Linked DNA regions of Danio rerio. The protein of the gene in region 1 interacts with the protein of each later gene in a pairwise test. Links are inferred from orthologs where the notes say so. Each region holds a gene or a part of one and is shown on either strand. Other genes may lie near its edges.

Region 1 (10,478 bases):
ATTATTGTTCTTGAACATTCCATTCAAATGATATTAATGTTTTTGGAACAATCTTGTAACGTTGATAAAAAGCGTTCCAAGAACATTAGTATCATTTGACGTTAAATAATGTTGAAATAACGTTAAAATAACGTTAAAAAACTTTACATATGTACTGTACTAACATTTACTCAACTTTTAAGCAATCTTCCCTGTTCATTGCAAGATTTAAAACAGAATACAATTCTATAGATATACATGCTGAAGTATCCTAGAAATTCCAAACAACAACAACAACAACAACAACAACAACAACAACAACAACAACAACAACAACAACAACAACAACAACAACAACAACAACAACAACAACAACAACAACAACAACTTAAGTATAGTTGCTTTGTTGCAGTCATACTCTAATTTTACCCTCATCTAGCCCTGCTTTCTTATCCTGCTTCAGCTTCTTGAGTTCTGTCATCCAGTGGAGGTGATGGACAGTGGGCTCAGTGACAGATCATCGGGGTGGGCAGGATGATTTGGGGCATGTTCCATGGGACATTTGGGGGTGGGGGTGTGGGGTGTCTATTAAAAGAGAAGTGGTGCTGTTGGTGTCCACAATGCCTGTTTGTTGGAACCCAATAGGGACACTCAACCAGGATGCCAGAGCCAACTAAAAAAATAGGTATGCCAGTGTTTATTTTGTAGATTCTATCTGACAAACACATGTATAATAGATTGGTTTTGTATTGTTGGTTGAGTAAATAGTAACATTTCTGTTCTAAACTCTGACCTTATCACAACTTTAAAAGCACTTTTCAATTTGTACTTTATTTTTATACGACTTCAGCTCCTGTGTCTTTGGTTTTTGGTGTAATAATAAGAAATACTAATTTAATATATAGGTAAAAATTAGCAGTATCAGTTTGATCTATGAGTATTTTCATAACATTGTCTGGATGTTCCTTTACACTGTACTACATTCTGCAGCTGTTGTTTCTAAGCCAACTGTATATATGAAGCATCTGTGCATTGTTTTTCTCGCACAAATTGCACTGTAAACAAAGAAACATATTAACAACAGACCTGTTGCATATTTTACATTTAGCAACTAAAGTAAACAGCTAATTTTGTGTGATTACAAGCCACTAACATTAAATCAAACCCTATTCTTAGCACTTTATTTTACAGTCCTGTTTTGCATATAAACATTACATACTGCATACTTATACTAGTTATTACAAAACTGGGTACTATAACTCGGCACTATTTCTAAACCTACCCCTGATTCCATGGTACCTTGCATGACCCACTAATTTACGTACCTTTAAGTACACAGTAAGACATATACTGTAAATTATAGTGCAACCTTATATCTAATATGTAATTAATATTATTAGGTGTTTAATTGTAACATGCAACTACTTAAACTGAAAGTATCCTTAGTATAAACTGCTAAATCGTATCTAAGCTTACGTGATAGAATAATGGCCGTGGGCTGAAGGGCTTTTTTCCAAAAGTGCAGAGAAAATAACCCTGCCTACGCAGGAATTAAAAGATTGCAATAATGTGATGCCACCTGTTTCGTGACAGCCGACTGTGGCGATATTCGCTAAGACCAAGAGCATGCTAACAATGCTGTTGCATCACTTTTCGGCATTAAGCAATGAAGTTTAGTGGTAGTAACCAAATCCATGTAGTCATTTTAGCTTCACACTTTCTCTTCCCTATTGGTGGATTTCAGAGGCTCTAAACCAGCGGTTCTAAACCAGGGGCCAAATAGAGGGCCTCTGCAAGCTTCCAGAGGAACCCCAAGAAGTCTAAAAATGATTTAAAACCAATGAAGTCACCATGACATACTTGTTTATTTTCATGGCTACCAAAATACCAGTGGTTCATATACCATCATATAGGGTATATATGAACAAAGCAGGTCCAATAAGTTGAGAATGATTGCTATAGTCTAGACTTAAGGCATCTTTACACCTCTCAAAGATAGTTTAATTTGATTTAACAGATGGCAGATTTTGTTTTAAATACTCTTGAGTGTTAGACACACCAGGATGTCAATATTTGGACGCCAACCATCAGCATCTAATGTAACCTTTGTGACGGACATAAACATGTCACCTTCATGAGAAAGTTTCCCATCCCATTGACGATCTCCACTGACCGCTGGCTGACACGTTATGACTGTGAAAATTATTACCTTTCATGCCTCCAGTTCAAAGCATATTTACCACATATTCATCATTAGTTGACTGTCACTGCTTGCATCTATCCAGACATTAGTAGTGTGGAACAAAGGCAATGTAGATACCAGCGGTTCTGAAATGGCAAAAGAGTGACCAGTGCTTGATAACAACAACAAAAATAGATCCTAGCTAATCCATCTAGCAGCTACCTGTGGCTGTGTCGACGTGGACCGCAGTTCTCAATGGAGAGCACATGCACTCTATTTTTAAGCGCAGAGGCTTGGCTTGCTTTATGCTTGAACCATTTGCATCGATGTGATTGAAGATGTGTGACTCCAACTACAAGAAAGAGCAATGAATAAGCAGTTAATAATTTAAGGCATGTGTGTAACAATAGATATGAAGATCAAGTTCCAGCAACGCCTTCAAGTGTTAAAAAGAAAAACAGTGTACTAAATATTTCTTAAGTTGATATCACATGCTAGAAAAACTATGTTTTACGTTTTTCAGTATGACTCGAGTCACAAATATTTGTTACATTTTTACAGAATTTGCATTTAAAAAGGAATAGCATTGAGTAATATGTCACACTAATCATGAAAAAGTACCCCCAAAAAAGTACTCAACTGACTTAACACGTCTGGCGAAATTCTTAAGTGCTCATACAACAGACACTTAACTTTGTGAATTTATGATGGACAATAAAGCAAGGCAACTGGAGATGTAGGTCACATGACAGAAGCAAAATGTCAGATGTAGTCCATCAAAATTTCATTTGAATTACACACATTTAAAATAATGATTAGAACATACTATTTTGATGGTTGCAAACCAAGTTACAAACTACATACCTACTATTTGTGATTTAAGACACAGGGCTCTATTTTGACGGTGCATGCGCAGAGCGCAAAACGCAGGGCGCAAATGCTTTCAGGGCGTGTCAGAACACATTTTTGCTAATTTAAGGACGGGAAAACCTGCTTTGCGCCATGGCACATGGTCTAAAAGGGTTGAGTTTATTTTCTTAATGAGTTATAGGTGTGTTTTGAGAATAAACCAATTAGAGTCTCATCTCCCATTCCCTTTAAGAGCCAGCTGCATCGCGCCAAGAGCGCATTCGCTATTTACAGGACGCAAAGTAAGTCTAAGTGGAAAAAATGAGCATTTCACTAGCAAACAGTTAACAGTTAACAGTTTTTTAACAGAAAACTGTTAAACAGAGCATCTACTGCGTGAGAATAAGAGATAATGGAACTACTTTCACATTCACTCTTGGATAGGGAAACCTTTACGCACAGACATCAATTAGTCTATAAATAAATAATTGCGTTTGTTAAGCACAAATATTCGTTTCAAAACTATTTCTAAATTCAGTTATAATTTCCAGCAAACGAATAAATAAACAATAATAACAAAATGTGCTCAAAAACCTGAGTTATATCCTAAAACACATGCTGTGCCCCATATGGTCTAAAACCTGCAGGTGGGCAAATCTAAGCTTGTTTTTAATAAAACAAATATAAATTTGGAAATAATAAATAATACTGCTAATAATAATAACATTATACAAAAGCAAACTGTTATGAATGAACTGAAAAAGCCTCCCGAGATGAAGAAGACATAAAAGCAGTGATTTTTCATATTTATGTAGGCTAGAAAATAATATGTTTTGTAATATTTTAATCCTTTATATTTATGTCCTATATCTATTTTTATTATATCCTATATATATCCTTAATATTTAAATTTTTTCATATGTAAAGATATTTGCCTATTGCTCTCTTGTGCGTATTAAGTAGTGCGTAAGCGAGGCGCAACTGTGCGTCGGAGTTTAGATCGGGTTTGTTTTGGTCTAATGAAAAACCTATTATAGTTTCTCAAAATAGCAAAGCGCCAGCGGTCCGCCTCAGAACGCCTCCCTTTTTAGACCAGAACGCCTATGGGCGCACAAATGAGCGCTAATGCATTTGCTGCCTCAAAACGACTCTTGCGCCAAGCTGAAACTACCAAAAGACTATTGCGCCACGCCTTGCGCCACACTGCGCCGGGTGTATGATAGGGCCCACAATTACAAGCACCACACTGGTTACTAGATCAACTAAAGCTTGACATAGATACTTATACAGCTGACATACACTCTCCTATTCCACTTGCTTTTACAAGTCAGCATCCCTTTTATAAGCCTTAGATCAGTAAGTAAGCTTCAATTTAATGTGTTTTCACAGAGAGCCACAAAGTCAGTCCAGAACCTTCACGTTTACTGTTCCTCACCGCTATAGGTTGTTTTCACATAACGTTATCAATGACGTGCTAAATTCAGATGGAAGGCAGGTAGTGAATGTTCTATGTAGGAATCGCTATCAGAACATTTAAATGTTTCTGGTTTATGTTGTTTCTAATTGTTTAAATCGGCCAAAATAAGAAATGCAGAACGCCTTTTATATAGACTTCCAAAGGATTTTGCTTATAAACGAAGGGGGGACAAGAAACTGTATCTGATAAAAGTCAGATACAAACACCACCACACAAAATCCAAGAGAACCCTGCCATGAAATCGTTGTAATAAAATCTTTGTCTAGTTTTGCAATAATTTATCTCTTTACTAGCATTTTGATGGAATAAACAACCGTAATGTTAACGTCTATTTGCAGCAGCGATGAATGTTTGTTCGTGGTAAGTTCATTGACAAAACTAGACGGTTATTATTGTGGAGCACTTTTCCCCCTTACAAAAATAAATAGTAATGTAGAGTATGCGTCTGGGCTTTTGTATGCTTTCATCGGTTGTTTCCTGATGTCTGGAAGATATCCACTTGGGGAAAACTTATCGTAATTTATAATAAACATGTTTTTGAACTACATAGTTAAGTGTATAAGGTGTACGGCTCTTTGTTAATGAATGCTACCGAATACTGTAGCACAGTAAACGGTAATAAATACTGTAATGTTAGTGTAAACTGTGGTGCATTGTGATGGTGTATAAATATAGAAACTGAAGCCTATTAAATAATTTGTTTGTTACTACAGATGTGTCGTACCACAACAACAATATAATTACTAAGACAGTTCAATACAAGTAATTATCAATATATAGACCATTTCAATGTGGTGATGCCATGAACATTTCCTGCTTGTTGTCAAACTGTTTTAATAACTGTAACAAGAGGAAATTCTATTACATCTTAACATTAAAACAGCTGTCCTAACAATGTTTATCAATATGTGGATCATTTAGGATTCTCAGAACCCATGGAAATTAAAAATGTAAAACAAATACGTTAGGACTATTGTTATTGTTTACATCCCTCAAAATGGTCTGTAGTATGCTTCCAACCGCTATAGTATTAACACTAGTGTTTTTTCATGTAACCTAATAGCTCATACAGTATGTACCGCCTCGATGGCAGGCCAATATATTTAAGTTCAGTAGAAAACTCGGCCCGCTTCATGATATAAGGACCATACCCATTTTATGTGGTTATTATCTATTTATATCTCCTTTGAAATATGGTATAAATCGCAAAAATATGGACTTTCCTCATGTCTCCCATTCAGTTTTTTACTTCCTGCCCTTCATTTGAAAACAAAATATTCATCTACTTGTTATCTGAGACATCTCACTTGATGGTACAAAATCTTAAGGCATATGTACAGTAAGTGTTCACGCTCAAGAGCTTAGTTAAATTTGTATAGATACAAAACAAACAAATGATAAATGACTCAATATCAAATCAAGAATAAAGTCACAAACACACAAATGAAGATCTGTTATGTGTTTCTGCCGTCATTTAATTGTGCTTGGCAACATCATAACTATTACAAGAAAAAAACATGGATGCTTTAGCATTATGGTTGCATGTTTTGACATCATATCCTGTTTTGGAGGCGTTTAGATGTCTTTGTTCATATCTCAGTAGAGCTGCACCAGAGTGTGCATGGTTTGGTGAAAACAAACTCTGGTGTGATCATTCTTTTAGTGCGATGTGAAGTGTGAATGCTGCCATTTGCATGAACAAACACTATTTATACACAAATACACCTATTTTTTTATTTTTATAAACAGCACACATATAGTTAACATTTAATTTGCACATAATGTAACCATACAAACGATGTTTTATATAATAATATACTGTATATGTGTTTGTCAAATGTGTTGATTCTTATTTTTAACATTTCTATCTAAATTTTTGTTCTTTCACTGTCAATTTGTTGCACTGTGGAAAATTCTGTTATGAAAACAAATCCCTCGTGTGTGTAAACACACCTGGCAATAAAACTTTTGATTCTGATTCTGATTGCATATCAATGCACATCAAACAAGCAGACTGAGACCTCTGGACTTGAAATGTTTGGTGCACACTAAGGTTTAAATGTCATATATAAATGATCTTGAGATTAAGGTTTGGTAAATTCATGCTTTGCTTTTGAACCTCCCTCACTCCTTCAGTCTCAGCTTTCAGCAAGAAACCAAAGTCCCAGACTGCTGAGATTGGGGCAAGAGTCATATTTGAAGCTGAAACTGAGAAGCCAGGTGTAAAAGTGAAATGGCAGCGAGAATCCAAGGACATCTTACCCAGTCACAAATACACCATCTCAGCAGAGGACAATAAGCATTCTCTCACTATAAATAATATCATCCAGGAGGATGCAGTGGGATATGCTGTTATTGCTGGGATGTCAAAGGTCAAATTTGAATTAAAGATAAAAGAATCAGAAGGTGGGTGATTTTTGGATGGCGACGTATTCCTGCATCTACTTCACCTTCTCCCCACCATTGGTTTGTTTGTAAAAGTCACAGAGCACCATAACCAGTTCTCCTTACATTTTTTACGTCTTACTTTACCTTTTAGTCACAAAGGTTTGTTTTTTCAAGCACCTTTCTCAGAGCATGTTATCACTATTTATAAGTTTTTTTTCAGCTTGCTGTTTTCTCAGAAACTTACTAGAACTTTGAACATTTGCCTTTTAGTGTCAATTCATAGAGCTTTTGTTCCTGCATTGTGCAAAATAAATTAAATACATGATTAGCTAGCCTGATATATTCAGATTAGGTGGTCGCACTAAAATATAGCTGTCAAACTAAACAAATTGAACACAATTATACTTGTACAAAAAGACATCTGTTTAAGAAGAAAAAAAGCTTTTTAACTTTTGCTACTTGTTTAATTTACTTTTTTAAAATGAGTTAAAAAGCAATACTTAAGGGGGTATTACGTTCATTCAACTTAAATTTGTAAAAACAATGATGTTAACTTAATCCAGTGTTTCCCAACCCTGTTCCTGGGGGCACACTAACAGTACATCCCTTATTTGACCCATTCATTTCAGGTGTTGGAGTCTCTTCTAATGTTCTGATGAGATAATTCAAATGTGTTTGATTAGGGAGAGGTTGAAAATGTCTACTTTTGGTGTGCGTTCAGGAACAGGGTTGGGAAACAGACTCGATCAAGTTGTTTTGACATGAAGGAATTGCACAGTTTTTACAGTGAGATTTACTTAATTAAATTTGGTCAATTGTTCATATAATCCATTGCTGCTGTAGACATAATTCGGTATATTGTTCGCTGCTTGGAGAGCTTCAAGCATCTACCAATTCAGCATAGGTCTATATTTATACATTCAGTATTTAGAGCTATTTTTCAAAGCACAACAGAGGATGAAAGCAAGACTGAGTCCTAATTTGTATGGTCATTAGATTTGCAAAGAGAGCAATATCAAAGCAGAAAAGGATCCAAGAGAAAACCATTACAAGCACAATCATGTTCATTAATAGACTGAAAATGTCTTTGAGGGTATTTCATGTGAAAAATGTAAGCCTCTGAATTTTGTAACAAAGTTCAACTTTAAGTTTAAATCACTATCCTCTAGAGCCCCTAAAGGGTTTGATTTTTACTTGGGTCCAGATAGTTTTTAAATAAAGTATTAGTAATGTATGGCTACAGGGACTTGTTTTATTATTCATCAGCTGTCAAAAGTGAAACTTCTCTGAGCCACATGACTGATTGTTTATCGCATGTTGTCGGATAGTCATTTTAAGGATTTTTGCACTTTTGCAGTAAAGGGAGTGGAAAAAGCCAAATCCCCGGATCCTGCAGCAGTGGAACATAAACCTGAAGAATCTAAACCTGAAGAATCCAAACCTGAGCCCAAAGAGCCTCCACCAGCCCCAACTGAAAACTCAGCACCAGAAAGCACTGGACCGCCATCGGATGGAGTCGCACCTGAAGGTGGATACAAAAACACACACAGAGTCAAAGTTTACTCATGTTCTCACTTGTGCAAACATATCCACATCTTTGATAACATTGGATGTATTCACACCTGTCTTGTTTAGTTTGGTTGGATCAAACTCAAGTTTGTTTCACTTTGGTGTGAAACTTTATTCGGCTTTTCTGTGTTTGGTAACCAGTCTACCGTTATAACCGAAATGTGTTACAACCAACCATGTTGCACTCTATTTGTGCACATCTACATTTGAAACAGAGAATATACTGCACTGTAAAACCCAAAAAGTTAAGGTAACTCAAACTATTTGATAAAAACCGATTGCAATAAACCATTTAAACCATCTAAAAATTCAAAAACTAATCCAAATGAGTACTGTGAACTCACTCTATTCAAGTAAAAGAAGCAATTTGAGCACAGTAAAACCCAATAAATGAAGAGAACTCAAACCAACTGAGTACTGTAAAACCCAATAAATTAAGACGACTTAAACCGTTTGAGGAAACCGATTGCTACAAACCTTTTGAGTTAAAAAAAGATAATCTATAAGTACTGTAAACTTACTCCATTTAAGTGAAGTAATGAGGTATTTAATTAAGTCAAAACCTTCAAAACAGTTCAAAACTCTTTTCAGTAGAGTAGAGATAACTTTCAGTCAATGTTGGGTTAACTACACTATATGATAAAGCTGACTGTTTTTACAGTGTGTATAAGAGCAAAAGCTGCAATATTTGAATGGGTCCTCAAAGCTACAGTTAGAGTCTGTCATAGGCAGTTCTTTTGGACAGTGCAGATGATAGTTGCACAGCAAATACAAAGCCAAAAAGCAAATTTCATCTAAATAGATGGCTGACTTTAGCATGTGTACTTTTGTTTACAATTTCTGGTTCATTTGTAAAAATATTAGTGTGAAAGCAAACCACACCAAATTTAGAATCAAAGATCTGGTGTTAAAAAATTCTGGACCAAAGGAAGGGAACTAATAACTTTCCTGAAGTCAAAACACCCTTTATTAGCTTTCTTAACTACTGTTTTCTTCTTGATGTAAATTTTCTTGCATTTTTTGTTGTTGTTGTTGTTTTTATTCATAAGAATGCGCGCACACATATTTAATCTAAAAAGCATTCTGAAAATATATATATATATATATATATATATATATATATATATATATATATATATATATATATATATATATATATATATATATATATATATATATATATATATATATATATATATATATATATATATATATATATATATATATATATATATATATATATATATATATATATATATGTGTGTGTGTGTGTGTGTTTGTGTGTGTGTATGAATATATATATATATATATATATAACTTAGAAATTATTTTGCCTCTAAACAAAAGGGGAAAAAATAATGATGCGAGTATAGAGTATATTAATCAACTGGCTGTAGTTCACTTAATAACATCTGTTGTCGTTAAAAAGAAGCATTTCTGAATTCCATTAGCAGCTTTATGCCCCTGAAAGTCAGGGACTAAGGCTAAATGTATGAATAATTATTGAATGAATGAATTATTGGTTAAATATTTTGCTTTGATCTAGTTATGTATGTTCTGAATGTGTCACTATACTTTATATTTGACATCGCAAAGTTTTAAATTCTCAGATGAATTTCAAACCTGTTTTGCTATTTGTTTTTAAGCTCTGCCTGAGAGTCATCAGCCTGACACAAGGCAGGACCTTACAGGACTCTTCACTGAGAAACCTCACAGCGGGGAGGTGAATGTTGGTGAGTGACAGTCCATCTAGAAACTGAAAGTGAATACAAATGGAAAAACTTACAATCTTTTCTTCCCATTTAGGTGAAAACATTATTTTCATTGCTCGGGTGTGTGGTGAGTCTCTGCTGAAGAAGCCCACGGTGAAATGGTTCAAAGGAAAGTGGATGGATCTGGCCAGCAAGTCAGGAAAGCACCTGCAGCTCAAAGAGCACTATGACCGCAACACTAAGGTCTGACCACAGGAAAACAGATTTAAACTAAACTATTATATTTCCTCAATATCTTCAGAACGTGAAATCAAAAATAAGT
Region 2 (11,157 bases), on another chromosome or scaffold:
CCTTAGCAACTGCCTAACAACTAATCATAACACCCTAGCAACACCTTAGCAACCACCTAGCAATGCCTTAGCAACCACCCACAACACCCCGCCAACCACCTAGCAACATCTTAGGAACCACATCCGAGCAACTGCATAACAACAACTTGCAACTACCAAGCAATACCTTAACAACTACCCGAAACACCCTAGCAACCGTCTAGTAATGCCTGAGCAACCACCAAGCAATCACTCAGAACACCCTAGCAATCGCCTAGCAACACCTAAGCAACCACTTAGCAACAATAAACATGCCAATCCATACTAGAAACCAAAGAGCTTAGAATGACCAAGAGGCGACACTCTAGTGTAATTTGGGAAACAGCCACTAGAGGGCGTCGGCCCTTATGGAATGAAAACTCCAATAGAACAACAGCATATTATAAGTCTGTAAAATAAACTATTAAAAGTGCTGATGATTATGAAAACAAATGTTGTATTGTCGTCTTTCAGGTTGTATCTCGGCTTTAATGCGCTTTTAAAATAAATTAATAAAAAACAAAGCAGCTGCTTGCCATCGCGACAGTAATGAGATCCTATCGACGGCCGATCACTTTCACTCCAAAATGGCAGAATCCGGGGCTGTTGCTGGGCGCTGCTGTTGCAATGGAACGTTCTATTGAGTGTCGCCTCTTGGTCATTCTAAGCTCTTTGCTAGAAACATGCTAGCCTATATGATCTGTCTATGGCAGCTGTTTCAAACTTCTTAAAAACTACTTCAATGATTTAAACCAATCTCAATCCTGAAGGTCCAGTGCCCTGCAGGGTTTAGCTCCAGCTTGCCTCAACACACCTGCCTGGGTGTTTCAAGTATAGTAAGACCTTGATTAGCTTGTTCAGGTGTGTTTGATTAAGGTTGGAGCAAAAATCTGGAGGACACCGGCCCTCCAGGAACAACTTTCAGATGAGGCTTTCTCAAGCCACCATAAAGTTTGTCTACCAAATTTACTTAGTTTCTTTTGTAATACATTTTCATGCCTATTATTGTCACTGCAGTTATTTTATGTCTAATTCTACAAATTCTGTTAAATACTATTGAGACAGTGTTCACAGCTATAGAATGCTAATTAAAAACATGCTGGTGAAAAGACCGTCCAATTTTGACAGGGAACACTAACGTAAGGAGAGTGATGTAAGCACAACAGGAGGGTTAAAAATATGTGTCCGAAAAAAAAAATCTCCATCTAACAGCACAAAAAACAACAATTTGACAAGAGGGCTAATCATTTTGCCTTCAACTGTGCAGTATATACACAAACATTGACATATTTGCCCACAAGCGGTTGAAATAAATATCAAGGTTATTTCTGCATCAGCCAAATCCCCCTTAACACTGAAACAAGTTCAAATAGAGCAAACCCTAAGCCCCTGCCGGCTGACAGATGCTCAGACAGAGAATGTTGGGGATTATTCAAAAAGCAGCACGTTACATCAGATGAATTGAACATTATGAGAGGAAACCATCATTACTAGGAGACACAATGTCGTGCAAATGAACGTTTCAGTGGAATCGCAGCACAGCACACACTTTCTTTTGACCTCCATAAATCCAGAAGTGAAGCGAAATGCTGATACAGGAGTGATGAGGTGAAACCATAATACAACTCAGCATTTTTTGGCTGAATACTTACAGTGCACACCGGTGCTGGTGAGTGATGTGGCTTCTACAATCCCTATTTTAACAATCCTCTATTCGTCATAATAACTCTGCTAACCTAAGGGTGGAGGGTCTTTGACATGGATTTTCAAGTGTGCTGATTTGGAACTTCAGGTGTTATTTAAAGCGCTCCTAAAAAGGCAGCCAGTCAGAATCAGAGCGGCTCACTTTGAATAAAATGCAACTTAATCATTAGAGTTTAGATGGGTGATGATTACTCTAAAGCTTATAATAATAATAATAATAATAATAATTCATTCATTTTCTTTTCAGCTTAGTCCCTTTATTAATCTGGGGTTGCCAATGAATCGCAATGAATATGTTTTACACAGCAGATGTCCTTCCAACTGGGAAACACCCAGACCTTACGTCAAACAGAACTTAAAGTTTTGATATCAAATCATTATTCACATGTGACAAGTTTTTATTTATTTATATTGTTTGATATCAAGGTGTCTGCTATGGCAGTGGTTTTTAAACTTTTTTTCATCAAGTACCACCTCAGAGACAATTGTCTCTCTAAGTATTACCATAATGACCAGTATTGAAATCCAGTAGCAATGCCGGCCTAATTAAGCAGCTACAGCTCTGCACAGTTCAAAAACGAAACAGATTAATTCTTATTATTATGAATGTTTATTATTGTCAGCCACTTGCATTATAAATAGTTTGAAAATTAACACTGCGCTGTGCTTACAGGTAAAACACACAGTATATAAAAAAAACCCATAAAATTTATGGTAAAAAACTGGCAGCTCTGGTTGCCAGAAATCTATCATTAAAATAGGATAGAGATGTTTTTCAGTTTACGGTATATGTAAGTGAAACAGAAATTTTACGGTAAAAAACTGACAGCTGTGGTTGCCAGAAATCTATCGTTAAAAATACGGTAGAGATGTTCTTCAGTTTACGGTACAATTAAAAAAAGTTATTTAAAAAATGTTCTTAAAAAGTAAAAAGAAATCTGCTGTACTTAAATGTAAAGTATTATCATAAAGTATCCTATTTATCAAAACCTTTTATAAATATAAGCTATATGTTATCATATTCATATATAAACTCTAAATAAATAAATTTTAAAATATGTTGCATGTATATATAACATATTTGCATTTCTTTGAAATCTAAACATTAACTTGTATTTCAGATACATGAATTGGATTTACATATTTAAATTAGAAATAAGATCTGCCTACTGCACGTTATAGTAGGCTATTAGTTTCAGAAAAGCAAGTGATTATATCTGTCAACATTGGGATATAAAAATACAAGCCCAACAACCATTACAAATATAGGGAGGAAATTAGCTTTAAACAGAAAATTTTAAATAAAATAAAAGGTTTAGCTTATTAAAATCAATTTATTGCACGCGCCAAAGGGTTAAAAGTGTTTTTTGTTTTTTTTTACTATAATTATTACTCCGTGTACCACTTGAAGGAAGCCTGTGTACCACTGGTGGTACACATACCACAGTTTGAGAACCAATAGGGGATGAAAGACTTAATAGGGTCTGAATAGGGCATTTGTACATTTATATTGTCAGATCACATACTGATATGATATTTGACTTTAGATAGATAGATAGATAGATAGATAGATAGATAGATAGATAGATAGATAGATAGATAGATAGATAGATAGATAGATAGATAGATAGATAGATAGATAGATGGTGAGGCAGTGGCGCAGTAGGTAGTGCTGTCGCCTCTCAGCAAGAAGGACGCTGGTTCGAACCTCGGCTCAGTTGGTGTTTCTGTGTGGAGTTTGCATGTTCTCCCTGCCTTTGCGTGGGTTTCCTCCGGGTGCTCCGGTTTCCCCCACAGTCCAAAGACATGCAGTACAGGTTAATTGGGTAGGCTAAATTGTCTGTAGTGTGTGTGTGAATGTGTGTGTGGATGTTTCCCAGAGATGGGTTGCAGCTGTAAAAACTTGCTGGATAAGTTGGCGGTTCATTCCACTGTGGCGACCCCGGATATATAAAGGGACTAAGCCGACAAGAAAATGAATTTAGATAGATAGATAGATAGTTCAAGCCACAGCGACCGATGTGGCATCCTCAGATTAAAAAGGGACTAAGCTGAAAAGAAATTCAATAAATGTACTGCATTTTCTCCAACTTTAGTGTATATTATACCACAATACACTAGTAAAACTAAAGTACACAACAGTACCTACAGTGTATCACTTCACTATTGTTACAGTATTCTGAACCAAGTGCTGTAAATTCTGAGTACTATAATATATACAGTATAACAAACTGTATGGCTTAAAAACAGTATACTATATAACCTACACATTACTATAGTATTATTTTACATACAATTCTCTTTTTAACCCTTTATACCCTTAGAATTCATCTTCATTTCGAAATTAAAAAGACAACATTTAGTGTAAATGGTGGATTATTTGTTGTTTAAAGAGCGTGTTGTATGATTTATATACAGTTAAAGTCAGAATGATTAGCCCCCCTGTTTATTTTGTGCCCAATTTCAGTGTGTATGACAAACATAATTCATATTTTTTTTATTAGCTCATTTCTAATAACAGATTTATTTTATCTTTGCCATGATGACAGTAAATTATATTTGACTAGATATTTTTCAAGACACTTCTATACAGCTTAAAGTGACATTTTAAGGTTTAAAGGTTAATTAGGTTTACTAGGCAGGTTTGGGTAAGTAGGCAAGTTTTTGTATAATGATGGTTTGTTCTGTAGACCTGTGGTTCTCAAACTGTGGTACGTGTACCACAAGTGGTATGTGGGCTTCATTAGATACGCTGAGGAATCAAATATGTCATATGTAGATACATATATTAAAAATGTATAAAAAATGATTATATATGAATATGATGACATGTAGCCTATATTTCTAAGTGTTATACTTCACATTTAAGTACAGTTTTTTTTTTAACTTTAAGAATAGTAACCTAACATTTTTTTACTTTTAAAAGCACAATTTAAATTAAAATTTGACTTTTTTTTTTTTTTTTTTTTTTACGTATAAGCACATTACAGTGTTAATGTTTAAACAATTTATAATGTTTAAAGTGGCTGACAATAATACTCTTAATAATAAAAAATAATCCGACTCATTGTTGAACTGTACAGAGCTGTAGCTGCTTCACTGTGCCCACTACGCTACTTTATTTCAATAATGCTTATTATTTTGGTACTTGAAGGGTTTTCTGAGGTGGTACTTGATGAAAAAATTTAAGAACCACTGCTGTTGACTATAAAATATAGCTTAAAGAGGCTGATAATTTGGAACTTAAAATGTTTTTTTTTTTTTTTTATCAAAACTGCTTTTATTCTAGCCGAAATAAAACAAATAAGAATTTCTCCAGAAGAAAAAAAATATTATCAGACATACTGTGAAAATTCCCTTGCTCTGTTAAACATCAATTGGGATATATTCAAAAAAGAAAAGGGGCTGATAATTCGGACTTCAAATGTATATATAGGCTATGACATGCAGAGTTTACGGGATGTCATTTCTATGGTATTTCAGTGTGCTCCGCGTTGATTAATAATGACATCACTCGCCCCCTGCGATGCCTTTCCGCGTCTTTCTCCAAGTCTCCATACATGGGCGCAGGACGAAAAGCCTAGCGCGGGTCTCGGGCTCTCCTCTCTGCGCCCTTCCATTCATGGCCACTCCGCTCTCAATGGCGCTCGGGCTACCAAATATGGAGAGGGAAGTCCAGCGACCCAGGGCCACTCAGTGTCTATAAATTGGCCGTGACTCAAGGCGCTTTCTACCATTCACTCTCCAAGGGAACCAGCTCCTGGTGCTGATCTGGTAAGTACAGCTAAAGCTTTCAGAAATGTCAGACTTCATTTAATGGGATGATCTTCTGAATGCTAGGATTTAAACTAGGTCAGTTATATGGCTGGAATTACAATGCAAGTAATTGACTTGAGCTAAACAAACCTTTCAGAGGCTTAGAGTTGCCAGTTAAGAATACTTTGCTGACTTTGAATTTTAGTGAAGTTTTAATTTTCTTACTTTTAAAACCTTGTTATGAGGAGAAGTCAATCAAGGACAAGCATGTCAGCAGCATGAATTACTAAACTGCTCTCTTAAAAATAAAGACCCAATAAGATTTTTTATTTTTTATTTTTTTTTGCAGCAATACAATAGTATGATTAATTTTGTTACACAGTCAAATAATTATTCATATATCAGCAAAATAATAATATCCAATGAAGACATTTTATGGACATTAAATCATAGAGTCATTAATGACAATTGTTTTAGATCAATATGATTTATAATGAAGTGAAAACACAACCCTGGCTGGAATGCAAACAAACTGTCATGTATGTTCACAGAATTTTCTAACAGTTGTGTGTCTGATCTTCACCCAGAACCCCAGCTGACACCATGTGTGATGACGATGAGACCACTGCTCTTGTGTGTGACAATGGCTCTGGCCTGGTGAAGGCTGGCTTTGCTGGAGATGATGCTCCTCGTGCTGTCTTTCCCTCCATTGTTGGTCGTCCTCGCCACCAGGTACAATGTTTATTTCTTAATGCAAGATAGCAACATTATACTTTCATTAAACTTAGTCTCACTTAGCCAGAGCTTCACACATACAAGGTCTGGACTCTTTTCCATTCCCTATTGGTTATGGATCACTTCATGTAAAGAAATACATCACAATGTGTTTTGTTCTGCATCATTTTTATGAACATATACATTGAAACCTTGAGACTTCTTATAGAAAAAAAATGTATGTAGGAAACTTGAAAGTAATTTACAGAGTGTAAACCATTAGCAACACATGCAGGTTCATTCATTCATTTTCTTGTCAGCTTAGTGTCTTTATTATTCCGAGGTGGCCACAGCAGAATGAACCGCCAACTTATTCAGCACATTTTTGCGCAGCGGATGCCCTTCCAGCCGCAACCCATCTCTGGGAAACATTCACACATACACACTCATACACTACGGACAATTTAGCCTACCCAATTCACCTGTACCGCATGTCTTTGGACTGTGGGGGTACCCGGAGAAAACCCACGCGAACGCAGGGAGAAAAACACAGCAAAACTAACTGACTAGTACAAAAAAAACATAATCCTTATTTCCTTTAATTTTTTCTTGTTTCCTCAACTTTTGAAAATATCAGTTGCACTGACCTAAAATTTTTTGTCAGTATTACAAAAAAAACATTTTGTTGGGGTAACATAAGGTTATTTGTTTTTTGGAGAGGTCAGCTACGCTATAACAAAACCATTTAAACTGTGCCAAGTGAAAATGTTTTTTTTTTTTTTACAAAACGAATGCCTGAAGTTGAGTGAACAGAAAAAAAAAAACTCAATCTATATTTCCTTTCACTTTTTCTTGCTTACTTGACTTTTGAAAACATCAGTTGCACTGATCTAAAATGTCTTAAATGAAAAGTATTACATTATGGGGAAAAAAAAAAACAGAGACAAATGTTAACAAAACATTTATTAGAAACAAGACAGGAGGCAAAAAAACAATGACGGTAAACAAGACAAGGATCAAAACATGGCAGGACAAACAGGGAAAATGCTTTATAATGACTCACAGGGAAAAAAAAACAAGACTCAGCCAAGAGTCTGTAAATGGTGTCCTAATAAGTAGTCCATCATGAACTTCCAGCTGTGTATGTGATCAGGAAACTGGTTCCTTTATTTGAATCATAGTTTGAGCATTTGACTCGTTTTTGAAATCTTACAGGATTTTTAGTTGTTCATGAAAATTAAATATCAAATACATTTGATTTCTCGTTTGAGAATGAATTTTGATTTATTATTTGATAGTTTGAGCAGTTTTGTAGTTTTGAAAGTTAGATTTATTATTTGATCTTTTTAGGCAGTTTAATTTTCTTTTCTTTCTTTTTTTTTTTTTTTTTTTTTACATTCGCTAAGCATTGTTGTAACCTACCAGGTTAATTAGGTTAATAGGCAAGTTATGTTAATTAGGCAGATCAAACATGGTTTGTTCTGCAACAAAAAAAAATATTTTTTTTTGAGAAGTCTCATAATATTGACCTTAATTTAAACATGCCTTAAACATACATTTGACTTTCATTTAAAAATAAAAAATATATATTTATTCCAGCTAAACTAAAAGAAACAAAACTTTCTCCAAAATAAATATATACAGTTGAAGTCAGAATTATTAGCCCCCCTTTGAATTTTAAATACTTTTTTTTTCTTTTTAAAATATTTCTCAAATGATGTTTAACAGAGCAAGGAATTTTTCACAGTATAAGAATATAAGACTTGGGAAATATTTGATAAAGAATAAAAACACTCCAGGAGGTTGATCATAATACATGTTAATGCGTTTTTTTAGTTATATGGATTTTTCTTCCATATGAGGGGTTTGCCATAATGCCAGTTTTAAGCTGTCAGCTAGTGCTGAGACTACAATGAATTTAGTTTAACAGTAGAACACATAGCCAAGGTCAAGTGATTGATTCCCTTCTATATACCATTAGTTGTATTGAATAAATGTTGTTGCCAAATGCATAATGCAAATACTGTATGTACTGAACTTTTGACATCATCTTGTCCTGAACAGGGTGTGATGGTAGGTATGGGACAGAAAGACTCTTACGTGGGTGATGAGGCCCAGAGCAAGAGAGGCATCCTGACCTTGAAGTACCCGATTGAGCACGGCATTATCACCAACTGGGATGATATGGAGAAGATCTGGCACCATACCTTCTACAATGAGCTGCGTGTGGCCCCTGAGGAACACCCTACGCTGCTCACAGAGGCTCCACTTAACCCTAAAGCCAACAGAGAGAAAATGACACAGGTAATCCTGCTTGAAAATCTTTAAAATGTGCATGTGTAACCCCGACGGTCTTACACCACCCAACCCGCTTCGAGCTGATATCGAACAGGCGACCTTCTGCATGAGGGTCTGTTGCTCTACCAAGGAGGCTAAAGATCATAGCCTCTAGCATCTAGCAACAACTCTACAAACTTAAAATGATGCAGAAATACTTAAATGACTTAACCTGTTGTTTGTGTTGTTTAATTTGCAGATCATGTTTGAGACCTTTAATGTTCCGGCCATGTATGTGGCTATCCAGGCTGTGCTTTCACTGTATGCTTCTGGCCGTACCACTGGTGAGTGTTTGTGAAGACATGAACTAAAATACCACATTCCTTATAAGATTGCACAGGACCAACACAATCTCATGACAAGTAACCATATTAAATGTAGTTAATTTAGTGACAAATTTAAATGAAATCTCATTAGTTTCGTTTGACCATGCCTCGATGACACCTATGTTAGGGGTAGGCTTTCATGCTGTTCTAAAAATCATACAAATTTCTTACAATCATCTTTAACCTGCGAAAATGGAGTGCTTTGATACTGATAATGACCCTGCTTTAGTTTGGAAATGCTTGCTTTATAAAATAACATTTATTTTAAAAGAAGCATATGTATAAATGACACCTAAGTTCCAAGATTGTGTATGGAACGACATAACTTCTTCAGTCGGATCAAATGACTTCGACAAAGTTTGGGAGGAAGATGTTTAGATTGTGTAGCCAGCATGATTTGAGATCTATATACATAAACATAGCTAATTCACTTCTGTCCCAGAACAGTTTTCAAGCAGCACTCAATATACTCTGGCTTCAAGCCAAAAATGTAAACTTAGAGCCGTCCTCTGTTACAGTATGCCAAATATGCATATATGCCTTCAATTTGATGAAATTCAATTTTAAACTTGTAAATTATTATCAGTGGTGTAAAGTAACTAATTACAAATACTCAAGGAATTGTAATTTATTAAGTAGTTTTAAAAATGTGTACTTTTACTTTCCCTTGAGTATATTTTTAGTGCTGTGTCTGTACTTTTACAGAATTATTTTCCTTCAATCTGCAGTCACTATTTCATTATTACTTGTCTATGAGAATTAGCAAAGTCAGTCCTGTAATTAAAGTCCAATCAGAGCGCACATAGAAGATAAATCACCTCAGAATGTACTACCTCAAGTCAAGGGCGCTTTATAAATGCAGCAAACCTTTTGGAAGCAGTAAAAGTGTCCAAGAAGATGCCCAAAATCTTTACATGCATTGATCCAGAGACTGGTCACTGATGAGAAGATGATGGATGTTTACTGTATGTTGACGAAATGGCCTTAAACACCCAACAGGCACAAGTTTGACGTTGTACCCTAACATCATGGGAATGTTGCATTTTTTTGGAAATAAAAATAGGGTTGACTTCAGAACTCAACATCAGGCCAAAGTCAATGCCCAACCTAAAACCAACCAAATATCAACATCTGATGATGTTATAGCTTTACGTTATGTAGACGTTACCACTATAAATTCTATTAGACGTTGGATTTTGAATGCTATACCTGATGAATAAATGTCAGTATTTAATGTCAATATGTTGCTGGTTTAAGATGTTGGATCGACTTTGGATTTTGGTCACTGACCTAAAATCAACCAAATATCAATGTGGTTTAATGACATTATTGGACGTCAAAATAACATTGTCCTTAGATGCTGACTAGACATCAAATTTTGGTCACCCGACAGAACTTAAATCTAAACTACTGTAATATTAACATCTTATGACGTTGTGTGCCTCCTGCTGGGCAATAACTAAACACAATACAGAATATTAAGTTTACACACATGCACAAATTACATGTAAATGCATCAGCTTTTTACAGCGAAATACTCACTACTCATTATTACTCTTGAGTATTTTTTGAAAAAGGCTACTTTTACTCTACTTGCACTACATTTTTAGGCAAGTAAAGTGCTTTTACTTAAGTATGATTTTTCAGTACTCTTTCCACTATTGATTATCACATATGCTGCAGCCGTTGTACCATCCCTGGGACAAGTTCTCGAACATCCCTCTACTTCTCAATATTTCATTCTTGTTAGAGTTAGAGCTGTAAGCAGACCCAGATTGGCTAATCGGGAGGACCAGGAGAATTCCCGGAGGGCCGGTCCATTTTTTGGCCTAGAGGGCCGGTGTCCCTAGCTCCAGAATCTGTTGCTCTCAGCAGTTACACTATTTAAATATAATTTATTTATTTACTTGACCACATCCTTCTTATTTATTATTTTACAGAAGCTCTGCTCTTTTTATCTATTTTCTCGTAGCCTCGTGAGCAAGATGCAGCCTGCAGGTTAATGATGATATAACAAGATAAGTCACTATTCAATGTACAGCTGTTGTGGTACAGTGGTTAGCATGTTAGGTTATGACATGGCCAGCCAGGGTTTGGTCCAGGTCTATAAAGATTTTTTTTTTTTCATTTTTATTGTTAAGACATATAATACTGTAAGGGTTGTTGAACATTTGAAGTTTCTAAAACAGCTGTTTTCTCAAAAAAAGACGTGATAGTGTAATTAGAAACTGAATTGGAAATGACCTTATTTTAAGATAGTCAGTGGTGAACTGAGGTGGGCCGTTCTAAGGCTTGAAACTCC

The links.
Region 2: the proteins of mybpc3 (region 1) and actc2 interact in a two-hybrid assay, tested with the Homo sapiens proteins (2 studies listed by IntAct). The link is inferred for Danio rerio from reciprocal best matches to the Homo sapiens genes MYBPC3 and ACTC1.

Annotation. Positions count from the first base shown.
Region 1 is NC_133182.1:31,884,708-31,895,185, forward strand, and holds the start of mybpc3 (myosin-binding protein C, cardiac-type), read left to right. Parts: upstream 1-596; 5' UTR 597-639; coding exon 640-664; intron 665-6,623; coding exon 6,624-6,893; intron 6,894-8,232; coding exon 8,233-8,403; intron 8,404-10,090; coding exon 10,091-10,177; intron 10,178-10,250; coding exon 10,251-10,399; intron 10,400-10,478. UniProt on the Homo sapiens protein: Thick filament-associated protein located in the crossbridge region of vertebrate striated muscle a bands. In vitro it binds MHC, F-actin and native thin filaments, and modifies the activity of actin-activated myosin ATPase.
Region 2 is NC_133195.1:10,141,802-10,152,958, reverse strand, and holds the start of actc2 (actin, alpha, cardiac muscle 2), read left to right. Parts: upstream 1-5,453; 5' UTR 5,454-5,496; intron 5,497-6,065; 5' UTR 6,066-6,081; coding exon 6,082-6,210; intron 6,211-8,256; coding exon 8,257-8,496; intron 8,497-8,728; coding exon 8,729-8,813; intron 8,814-11,157. UniProt on the Homo sapiens protein: Actins are highly conserved proteins that are involved in various types of cell motility and are ubiquitously expressed in all eukaryotic cells.